2 linked regions of the Nothobranchius furzeri genome follow. The protein of the gene in region 2 purifies or fractionates together with the protein of the main gene of each other region. This does not show direct contact. Links are inferred from orthologs where the notes say so. Each region holds a gene or a part of one and is shown on either strand. Other genes may lie near its edges.

What was found.
Region 1: the proteins of exoc8 (region 2) and ralba purify together in Homo sapiens (affinity purification with western blotting; 6 studies listed by BioGRID and IntAct, counting the BioPlex papers as one, with this or other methods). This does not show direct contact. The link is inferred for Nothobranchius furzeri from reciprocal best matches to the Homo sapiens genes EXOC8 and RALB.

The regions. Positions count from the first base shown.
Region 1 is NC_091754.1:12,636,107-12,641,728, reverse strand, and holds the start of ralba (ras-related protein Ral-B), read right to left. Parts: upstream 3,339-5,622; 5' UTR 3,211-3,338; intron 1-3,210. UniProt on the Homo sapiens protein: Multifunctional GTPase involved in a variety of cellular processes including gene expression, cell migration, cell proliferation, oncogenic transformation and membrane trafficking.
Region 2 is NC_091742.1:10,761,979-10,767,656, forward strand, and holds exoc8 (exocyst complex component 8), read left to right. Parts: upstream 1-1,730; 5' UTR 1,731-1,879; coding exon 1,880-3,029; intron 3,030-3,192; coding exon 3,193-3,446; intron 3,447-3,589; coding exon 3,590-3,838; intron 3,839-3,953; coding exon 3,954-4,358; 3' UTR 4,359-4,679; downstream 4,680-5,678. Other genes in the region: DNA-dependent metalloprotease SPRTN, read right to left, coding at 14-142, 237-336, 722-1,053. UniProt on the Homo sapiens protein: Component of the exocyst complex involved in the docking of exocytic vesicles with fusion sites on the plasma membrane.

The DNA.
Region 1 (5,622 bases), on a different chromosome or scaffold from region 2:
TTCTGTACTTGATTGTGATTAATCGCAATTTATCTGATCATTAGCCTGGCTGCTCTCACTTTTGTCCAACTTTATATTTCTCAATGAAAAACTAAGTTGTCACACACTCCATGGAAACTTTCAGAGAATCCACAAATAGTGGCTTTCAAATGGTTTTGTTACTTTTGCAAGTTTAGAAAAGAAGCAGACGAGGCAGCATGTCTGATAATTTAGTTTTTCATCTGATAATATTAGAACATGTCAGTAATGTCTGAGGGGCTTTTATAAACACTGGACAGGGTTTGGATTATACAAAGGCTTCTGGGGAGCCCAGTTATAGGGGTGGGGGGTGTTCTGTTTTGCCTTGGCCCCCAAAATGCCTTGAAACGGCCCTAGGTGTGTGACTGAGTTTTGAAGGTGATCTGAATTGTATCAAATGTATAAATATTACATGTGTGTAGCTTGATTTATATAAGTAAAAACGTGTAGTGGCGATAATTCTACCTACATTTTACTTTTCAACACTTTTGTTTTGTTTTCTTGTTTTTATTTAATTATTTTCCGGTCCAGTCTGTCTCTCATCTTCCTGCGTCTCCTCTAAACTCTCCAGAGAAACTGCTGCCTGGATTCTTACTTTTTCACCTCATCAGTTACTTTTGAGCAGATCAAAGGGATCTCCTGACTGCAAAGCGGAGAGCGCGTTTCGATGCTGCGCCAGTGAGGTGAAATCACCTCAGCACAGGTGATGAGCTCCGCAGTAGCACAGCGCTTCAGGCACAAATAAGACAAAGTAGAGAACATGTGTGGACATGAACGATCATGGGTTAATTATGGTTTTTTGGTTGCGCCACTTTGAGAACGTGGCGTGTGCTGGACGCAGCTGCCTGGAACGCACCAACGATGTGACCTGAGAGTGAGAATAATCTCTCACAAGGCACTGTGGTTGCAGGGGTTGACAGGTACTTGCATGCAACAGGTGCCAGTCTGGAATATGCTTCTTCTCTCTTCAACCACCACGGTAATGAACTCAGTGGACTCTTATAAAAAGCAGCTGAAAACTCACTTGTTCAAAGTGGCTTTTGTATGACCTTCTTCACCACTCTATCTGCTCTCCCCACCTATTCCACCTTCCTCAGGATCCACTGATTTCCCTCTTTCCTATTCACTCTCTCTTTCTTAACATTTTTTAATCACAATTGTCTATTTTTTGCTCATTTTTAACCATTTTCTAAATTTTTTATATTTTTACATTTTTTGTTTTTGTGAAGTGCCTCGTGATTTTTATCTTGAGAGGCGCTATAGAAATGATATTTTCTTCTTCTTCTTCAATGTCCAATATCCATTTTGGGCTCTGCTTTGTACTGATCTAGACAGCGCTCCATGGACAGCATTGTCCATGCTAGCAAGCTTTTCCTCTTTTTCTGCTGCTACTGCTTCTAATCATTTCCAGCAGGTCAGACACCAGCATTGCGCAATGCTGCCCCCTCCTTCAGAGCCGCTCACGAGTTTGAGGTGTCGGATTACGTAAAATAATAATAAAAAACCTGCATTAATTATGTTAATTTTTTTAAATGCATTAAACATGTTACATTAATTAACTAAATTAATGCATAATTTTTCACAGCACTAATATATCTTTAGTTGCAGTAAGTGCAATGTAAAAATCCTAATAAACAGCTTCTGCATCAGCCTGGCAAACAAGCCCACAGGAACTAGCTGGTAGCGATGGGTTATGGACTATTAACAGATGTGAATCATTTAAAAATAGAGTGAACTATAACAATGTTCTGCAAACAGATATTTACATAACTTGTTCCTCTTCCTCGTTGGAAACAGGATGCTACAGTTTTCATAGCTAGTTCCTTACATACACCTGTCACATCTAAAGTATGCTTGTATCTCAATCAGCATCTCTGGAGAAAAAAAAGATTTTTAATATGATTTGGTCATATATGGGTTGTGCAAGCAACGAACCATGTTATGGTTTACTTTACAAGACATACTGTCTAAGATGAATGATAAAAATGTTAAATAAACATATTTCTAAACTAGATTACATCATTATTAGATGTGCAGAGGCATTGAAACAAAGCTAAGTAAGATTAGGTGATTATCTTTGACAATGAACATATTATCCTAATCAGCATTGGCTGGCTCAAAAACATAATGTGTATTAGCTTTAAAAGCCAAAACCTTGCCTTACAAGACTGCCAAGAAATTCCTGGGTTAGTTTCCTCGAGTATGTGATAAATGTGCTGGGGTCAGCAGCATTGTGCTCACGAGTTGTTTATGATGGGACGGTTGTAAGTTCAGTCCAGAGTAGAACTAAAACAATTGGGCTTATGTGGATTATTTAAAACAGGCGTTTGTCTCTCTGGACACGCATGCATTTGGATGATAAATTATATTCCTCAAATCCCCCGATACTAAAATACAGTTGGTGTTATTAATGAGAAAGAATGTTGCTTTGCCAGCAATGTTCTCCACCCCCTCTCACAAACACACGCTGAAAACGTCACCCCACATGCCCACAGCATTATGTTTATATGTAAACAATTGACCATAAACTTGCTAAACTGCCATCACCTTTGAGTGGCCCTTCAAAATAAGACATAACCTAATAAATTACATATTTTAATGACACAAAACGGGTCTTTAGTTTGTTCAAGGGGGACATCCTGAAATGTAAACTGGTCTTTTTGCTGACATAATTTAAAGTTACAACAGCATCAGCAGAAGAAGTCCTGAACTCATTTGGGTGTGTCCTCAGAGAAAACTTTTCAGCACTAGTGGGAATTGCAACACCTACTGAAAACTGTCATTGAGCCTTGAAAACACCAGTTTCACACGTTTCTTCAGAATTAAACACGTTAGTACACACGTTTTACTATAATGCTAAAACTGTCGTTGCTATACAAGCACGACGTTGTGACATCAGTTTTGATTCACTTAAGGAAAAACATAATGCGAACAAAAACGGGCACATCTTTCTATCTGCTAGCATAAACTTAAATATTAACTAAACTTAAAATTAGCGTTTTGTTTCGTAGGAAAACAAATCTCGGGTGATAATTAACATTTTCATTCAATTACAATTTTGTCATTAAAATATCCTTTTCGCCCCAAGAGGTCAATCTTTTGACCGTTAAACAGGTGTGGTTACGTTATTTCCCCGCTAATAAACACATAAAACACATATTTCACTCTGAACAGAAAGACTGGAAGCCTTACCAATGCAGAATTTTTAAAACTGCCCTTGGTTGATGCTATCTTTCTGGCTGCTTTCCCTGTGCAAACCGACACATTGGCTCCCCAAAAACAAAACGCTCCCGTAAAAAAAAAACACCCCACCTTCCGGAAATGAAAACTAGATGACAGGATGTGACGTCATCTCGAAGTCCTGGTAAAATAAAATCCTTTTTTTTCCAGCATTTTATAAAATGTACCTAAATAACTGAATTTTAAATTATGTATGTGATGGTTTTATATTTCTAAAAAAAGTTATAAAACTTTTAAGGAACTATTTTACCACTAACAACAAATAAATCCATAAAAAAGTTTTAAAAGATCCACATTTATAAAACAGCTTAATGTTTCATATTTATTAGTCTAAATTTTCTAAATCAAGACCGTGTTACATCACTAAATATTTTATATGTTCATATCTGATCAAGTTGCAAGCAAAAAGCTTAGGAGTGAATAGAAGGAAGTTGGGAAATTCATTTGTTAGGGCAGCACTGGAGAATAGGAAAAAAATATACAAGTTAAAACACCAGCTATTACTGTAACCTACAACAATTATAAAATTATTAAAAATAGAAAATAGCCTTTCCAAGGAGAAAAAGAATAAAAGACAGATATGCAAATGTGCATCCAAGTTTTGCACACATACTGAAAAAAGAAAAATTATATTTAAATATATATACATACCATATACATACACACGTGTGTATATTAATACTTCAAGTATTATTGCATTGCTGTTTCTATAGGAAAACTTTGTGAAATACACATTTCAATTTAAAGTTTTTTGCTGTCATTTGCCTGGACAGTTAAACAATTTGTTGGCCTCTTGTTTGCATTTTTTATCATTAAAGTAATCTAATCTAAAATGTTTTAACCCTCCCACTGTCCTTATGGGTTTCCTTGCGAGGAATGTTCACCATTGAGCAGGATTGATGGTTTATCCCTTGAGGTCCATGTGGCAGGGGTGAGGTGGTGCTCACTCCTCACCCCTGCCACATGGACCCAAGGGATAAACCATCCACCCTGCTCAATGGTCAACTTTCCTCGTGGGGTCACAACCATTAGGAGTGGGAGGGTTAAATGCAATTTTTAATAAAAAAGATGAAACAAGTTACAGAAAACAAAGGTCAAAACGGATTCATACATCCACTCATTATAGACCAGCTCCTCCAGGGAAGGTGTTCCCTGGCCAGTGTTTCCTGGGTCTTCCTTTAGGTCGAAGTGTCTAGAAAACCTCACCCGGGAGATGTCCAGGAGGCTTCCTAACTGGATCCCTAAAGGCTGGTTTATGCTTGACGCGTCCGCGAAGTCCGCACGGCTCCGTGCGGAAAAGTTGCGTCATTTTAACAATCACGCCTCCGCACGGCCCAAACTTTCCGCACCGCGCACCTAGGAAAATTTCTAACCACGCGGACAGTCAGACGCGGAAAAACATGGCGGACAAGCAAGAACTAGTATGGCAGAGTTTCGTAAATACAGACATTTGTATGATTCAGCTCTCAAAGATCACCGTGATCAACATGTTGTTAATAATTCTTGGAGAGAAATAGCTCGCACTGTCGGAAAAGACGAGGACGCTGTTGAAAATGCTGGAATGCCATGTTGTAAACAACAGTTTTTACTTCTACTATGGTGTAGTGTTGGATGCATGCCATAGAGCTCCATGCTGCCCCCTACAGTTTGGGAGAATATTGGATCACCGCAGAGACGAGCAGCATGAACCATAAACGCTGCGAGTTGTGAAGCGCGTTCCATCCGCGAGCCGCATCACCAAGCGGAAAGTGAATGCGTCAAGCATAAACCAAGCTTTAGCCACCTCAACTGGCTTCTCTCAATTTGGAGCAATGGATCTACTCCAAGCCCCTCCCTAATGACCAAGCTTCCTACCCTATCTCTAAGAGAGATCCCAGACACCCTGAGAAAACTCATTTCAGCCGCTTGTATCCACGTTCTCGTTCTTTCAGTCACCACCCAAAGCTCGTGACATTAGGTGAGGGTAAGAACGTTAAATCTGTAAATCAAGAGCTTTGTCTTCCAGCTCAGCTTTCTTCACCACGACAGACCGGTGTAACACCCGCATCACTGCAGACACAGCACCAATCCACCGATCGATCTCCTGATCCATCTCTCCATCATTTACAAGGAAGAAATCAAGATTCTTAAACTCCTCCACTTGAGGAAGAACCTAATCCCTGACCTGGAGAAGGCATTTTACCCTTTTCCAACTCAAGACCATGGACTCGGATTTAGAGGAGCTGATTAAAAATTGTATTCCCCTAAATCTTTCCTAAGAATATATGGATTAGAATGAACATTATTTGATTAAAAATTCAAGAAAACTACATTTTTTTTAATGACGAAAATAAGTGCGGAGGTCCCAATAAATACATTTGTCAT
Region 2 (5,678 bases):
GAGAAACACTTACTGTGATTTTCGTCCCACTGGCCTTGTTGATCCTGTTCATGTGTTTGCAGAACTCAGGACCGTGGCCTTCTCGGTCTCGGTTGTTCTGGGTCACAAACAGCAGTGCATGAATCATTTCATGAAGGAGAGTCTGTGGAAACAATCAAATTAACAAATTATTAGCAATAATCTGGATGAGGATTTTCTGTCTTTAAGATCCACTAATGTAAAGTGACCCATCCCACCTCCACCAGGTCTTTTCTGGGTCTCAGCTTCAAAAGAGGCTCACTGAGCCGGATGGAACAGAGTCCGCCTCGGCCTTCGTAAGAACACACACCAGCACACCTAGGTACGGAAACACACAGGAGGCATTTTCTCAAAACTCTGTTATTCCTGTAACACAGCGCTGGAGTGGAGGACATCAAAACAAGAAACAGGACACATTTTATACAATAGAGAAGGCCTTAACATTGCATAGAAGCACAAGGAAACCATAATAGAGCTTCATGAAACTGGACATTTTTTGCTTTTTTAGAAATTATGTTTGACATACTTTGTGTCAGATATTTAGTGGTACCCATTTGTTTAATCTTTTACCTTATTTTTCTTCAATAATGATGTTTTTCCAAGCATCTCGCGCTTTGTGGCTACCATATTTGAATCCCAGTAAAGCCAACAGTGTTTATAAACATCCCTGCTGTAGGAAATCTGGTGAACAAACAAAACTTACAGTGTCATTCTGGGGCTCCACTTCACCTCGACTCCGCTCAGTTTCCCCCAGAAGAACAGGCTATTAAACTCCAGAAACATGGCCCTCACATCTGGGTTTGGGTCCAGCATCTCCCAGGACTCATCCACGATGCTCAGGGGTTTCTCAGGCTCGTGACCCGGCTTCCAGGAGGGGACAGCAGCGCTGCCACCTCCGGCTGCTTCCACTTTCCGTCTCTTACTGCTTTGTTCGAAGTAATTATCCTCGAATCTATTTGATGAGGTTAATGACGTCTCGTACTCATTATCGAACTGCTCCTGTAATTTAATGGCAAGCAGGAAATCCGCATCCATGACATCAGAAGGCAGCTGTGCTAGCTTGTTAGCTGACTTGCTAATGTAAATAGCACGAAGTTCTGGAACAAACGACGTCTGCAGCCTAATTATAAAATCAACCTTTCAGAGAAACATCGGTAAAAGGACTGAAGTCATGACTTTGAAAGATGAATCTCATCTTCTTGTCAGCCAAAGGTATCTGTAATAATAGTCGGTCTGTCCACAGCTCGCGCCAAACAGCAGGTTTGCTACATGTACTACATTACAACGAGTCTCTTTCCGTATGAACTTCTAAATAAAAAACTACTTCAAACTTAATTTCGTGTTTGATTTGGCTTTCCCCGCTTAGTTTTGTATCTTATTTTAATCAGCAGATGACTAAAATTAGCTTGTTTAAACGCTGTTGAAAATCTGTAATGTTTCTGCAGCTACCGTAAACTTCCGGTAGGTAAATAGTTGGACAACAAAACACCTATTCCGGGTGTTGTTCAATAGCCCAGTAATCAGTAACAACTGCAAAATAACAACACACAAAAAGCAAAATGAGTAAATAAATAAACAGAAGCTTTAAAATAAAAATAAAACATTGTTTGGTTTACCTGAAAGATCAATAACAATTTTGTTCTGAGTTTTTGTTGATCATCCTTTTTGTTCTCCCTTCTCGTGACGTTCATGTGACGTTGACAACCCGGGTGTTGGAGAAGCCAGATCCTTTTGGGGTGTTGACCTGTTTTCAGCTTCCTGTGTTTGTTGACGTGGATATGAAGGCGCTCGTTCTCTGTTTGCGTTTCTCGTCAGTTTGTTAACAGTTTTGCTTAATAAGGAAACACGCAGACAACCAAAGATGTCGGAAACCGGGAACCGACTTCGGAAGCTGCTGGAATCGCCCAACTTCGATCCACAGAACTACGTCAAGCAGCTGTCACAGCAGTCGGATGGCGACAGAGACCTTCAGGAGCATCGTCAGAAAATTCAAACTCTGGCTGATGAAACGGCCCAAAACCTCAAGAAGAACGTGTACAAGAACTACAGACAGTTCATCGAAACGGCCAAGGAGATCTCCTTCCTGGAGAGCGAGATGTACCAGCTGAGCCACATCCTCACCGAGCAGAAGAGCATCATGGAGAGCATCACTCAGGCCTTACTGTCCACAGACAAGGACGAGACCTCCAAAGAGATGCAGGCAGCGTTCCCCAAAGAGACAGAGGACCTGAAGCAGAGGACTCTCACCTCACTGCTGGAGAAGGTGGAAGGAGCTAAAAACATCATGGACACCCCAGGGAGACACCTGGTCTACAATGGAGACCTCGTGGAGTTTGATGTGGACAACATGTCCCCCATCCAGAAGGCTCATGCTTTCCTGATGAATGACTGCCTGTTGATTGCCACCTGGCTGCCTAACCGCAGAGGCACAGTGAAGTATAAATACAATGCCCTGTATGATCTGGAGAGCTTTGCTGTGGTCAACGTAAAGGACAACCCTCCCATGAAGGACATGTTCAAGATTCTCATGTTCCCAGACAGCCGCATCTTCCAGGTGGAAAACAGCAAAGTCAAGAAGGAGTGGCTGGAGATCCTGGATGAAACCAAGAAAAAGAAAGCCTCCCAGGACAAACACAAGAAAGAGGAGGAGGTCCCCACCTCTCCCGTGCGAGCCGAAGTGTCCAACAACCCTTTTGATGTGGATGACGACGAGCCGGCAGATGCCGAGGAGAGTGTGGACCTCAGTCTCGAGTGGATCCAGGAGCTGCCCGAGGACCTGGATGTGTGCATCGCTCAGAGAGACTTTGAGGGTGCAGTGGACCTGCTGGACAAGCTGAACGAGTATCTCAAAGACCAGCCTGCGACCCAGACGGTGAAAGAGCTGAAGGCGAAGGTGGATGAGCGTGTGCGGCAGCTGACTGAGGTCTTGGTGTTTGAGCTGTCTCCTGATCGGTCGCTTCGTGGTGGACCTAAAGCGACCCGGCGGGCCGTGTCCCAGCTCATCAGATTAGGTCTTTATTTGTATTAATAAGATCTCACAGACCATTAAAATGTTGATTTCCCAAAACCAGTAAACATTTCAACACAAAGCCAGAGTAGTCCTTGGAGAATCCATGCCTGTAACAATTTAAAGTTATATTTCCAACAGTTGATGATGTCATTTCTGTGTTTCAGGTCAGTCCACCAAGGCTTGCGAGCTGTTCCTGAAGAACCGCGCCGCGGCTGTCCAGACGGCCATCCGGCAGCTCCGCATCGAAGGAGCCACGCTGCTCTACATCCACAAACTCTGCAACATTTTCTTCACCAGCCTGCTGGAAACTGCCAAGGAGTTTGAGACGGACTTTGCGGGGAACACGGGCTGCTACTCTGCCTTTGTGGTCTGGTCCAGATCGGCCATGACGATGTTTGTGGACGCGTTTAGCAAACAGGTCAGCAGAGGCTCAGCGATGTCCCTAACATGAGTCAAGAAATATGTTTCGATCATTATTCTTGATAAAAAAAAAATCAAGATCAATTATTGTTCCAATTATTTCAGAAAATGATTCAAAACGGCCAATTTTCTGTTTTCCAGGTGTTTGACAGCAAGGAGAGCCTGTCGACAGCAGCAGAGTGCGTTAAAGTGGCCAAGGAGCACTGTCAGCAGCTGACGGAGATCGGCCTGGATCAGACGTTCACGCTGCAGTCGCTGCTGGTCAAAGACGTCAAGGCAGCCCTGCTGAGCTACAAGAACATCATCATTGAGGCCACAAAACACCGGAACTCTGAGGAGATGTGGAGGAGGATGAACTTGATGACCCCTGAGGCTTTAACTAAGCTCAAGGTCGAACAGCCTTCCTTAATTCCCAATTTTGTGTTTGTTTCTTTTGTTTGAAGAAGAAAACTAAAGAAAATGCGGGTGTTGAGCAGCATCTAAGGCTTTTCTCTTCGTCTTGCAGGATGAGATGCGTAGCTGTGGGATTAGTTTCCAGCAGTACACGGGCGATGACTGCTGGGTGAACTTGAGCTACACCATCGTGGCCTTCACCAAGCAGATGATGAGCTTCCTGGAAGAGGGTCTGAAGCTCTACTTCCCCGAGCTGCACATGGTGCTGCTGGAGAGCCTGAGGGAGATCATCCTGGTGGCCGTGCAGCACGTCGACTACAGCCTGCGCTGTGAGCAGGACCCCGAGAAGAAGGCTTTCGTCCTGCAGAACGCCACCTTCCTCCACGACACCGTGCTGCCAGTGGTGGAGCGGCGGTTTGAGGAGGGTGTGGGGAAACCGGCCAAACAGCTGCGGGACCTGAGGAAGAGCACGAGGCCGGTGCGGATCAACCCAGAGAGCACCACATCCTTAGTCTGAGGCCGACAGGAGCTTCGACGGCTCGTTTAACAAACCGCGTGAGACTGAAACGGCGGCCGGTGGCCACTCCCCCCTTCCCTCCCTGTCATTTCACCTCCCCCCTCAGACCCGATCCACAACACTAACTACTGGGTGTTTAGATGCTGCAGGAAGGAAATGATGGTAAAATGAAAGAGTCAGTGATGACACAGTCGGACGTTTTATTTAAAGTTAAATTTTCCTGCTGCAGCTTGTTTAGTTCTCAGTTCTTCGGGTTAATAATCCATCATACAAAACGCTTCAGTCCAATGAAAGAATAAACCGACCTCTGCTGGTGTTTGACCTCGTTTACGTGAATATTTTATCTTACAAGGGATTCCTTATGTTAGCAAAACATCTGGTTTTAGGAACGTTTAAACGCGTCAAAATGATTGTATTTTTATTGTCACGTAAAGCTTAAACACACGAGCATGTGACGTGGGGATGACTAAAATTAGCACTCAGATATTCTGTTAAATTGTGGTTTTTGTCTGCAACCAGTAACCTTGTTAAACATACTGTTAGTCTTTTTTGTTTTTAGTATAAATGGGAACTGCAAAGTTTTTTTTTTTGGGGGGGTTGAAATGGGTCCCATTTATTCACACCTGCAGCTTATGCATGCAAATCCATTCAAATCCAATAAAACATGAAGGTTGCTGTTTAATTTTAACAATAAGAAGAACAGAAAATGTAATTTGCAATAAAAACTAAAGTTTAAACTTCACAGAAGTTTCTTTTTCATGTTTTTTTTCTTTCAGAAACTACAAAGTAAACGTTTCTGGTAAAAAAGATCAAAGGTTTAGTGGTTTGAAACGGCATCCTTATTTACAGCTCTTTCATTCCTTTTTGCTCACCTACTAAAAGTCAGATTTAGATTTTTTTTAAGCTTAACGCATTAATTTATGCCTTTGTGTGAATGGCTCACTGTTTATGACTGATTATTATAAAAGTAAAATAAAAATCACTCATAACTGATAGGTAAAGTATAAGTGAAGTGTTATGGGATCATAATTGCTCAAATGAAACTAGGGTTAAAAAAAAGGCTTTTAATTGTATTTCAGTGCCTGATTACGAATCCTAGCAGTGAGATTTGTCGCCCTCTTGTGGCAGAAAAATAGAAATTAGGCTTTCGTTGCTAAAAATGCACAGCTTTACTTTCAATTTTGTGGTTAGTCTGCTAAAAAAACAGCATTATTTATTAATTTGGAGCAACAGGGGGTTTAAAATGATGTAGAATATTATTAATAATAAAGAAACAATATTATTTTAAGCTATAAGCACTAAAATGTCATATTCGTTAAC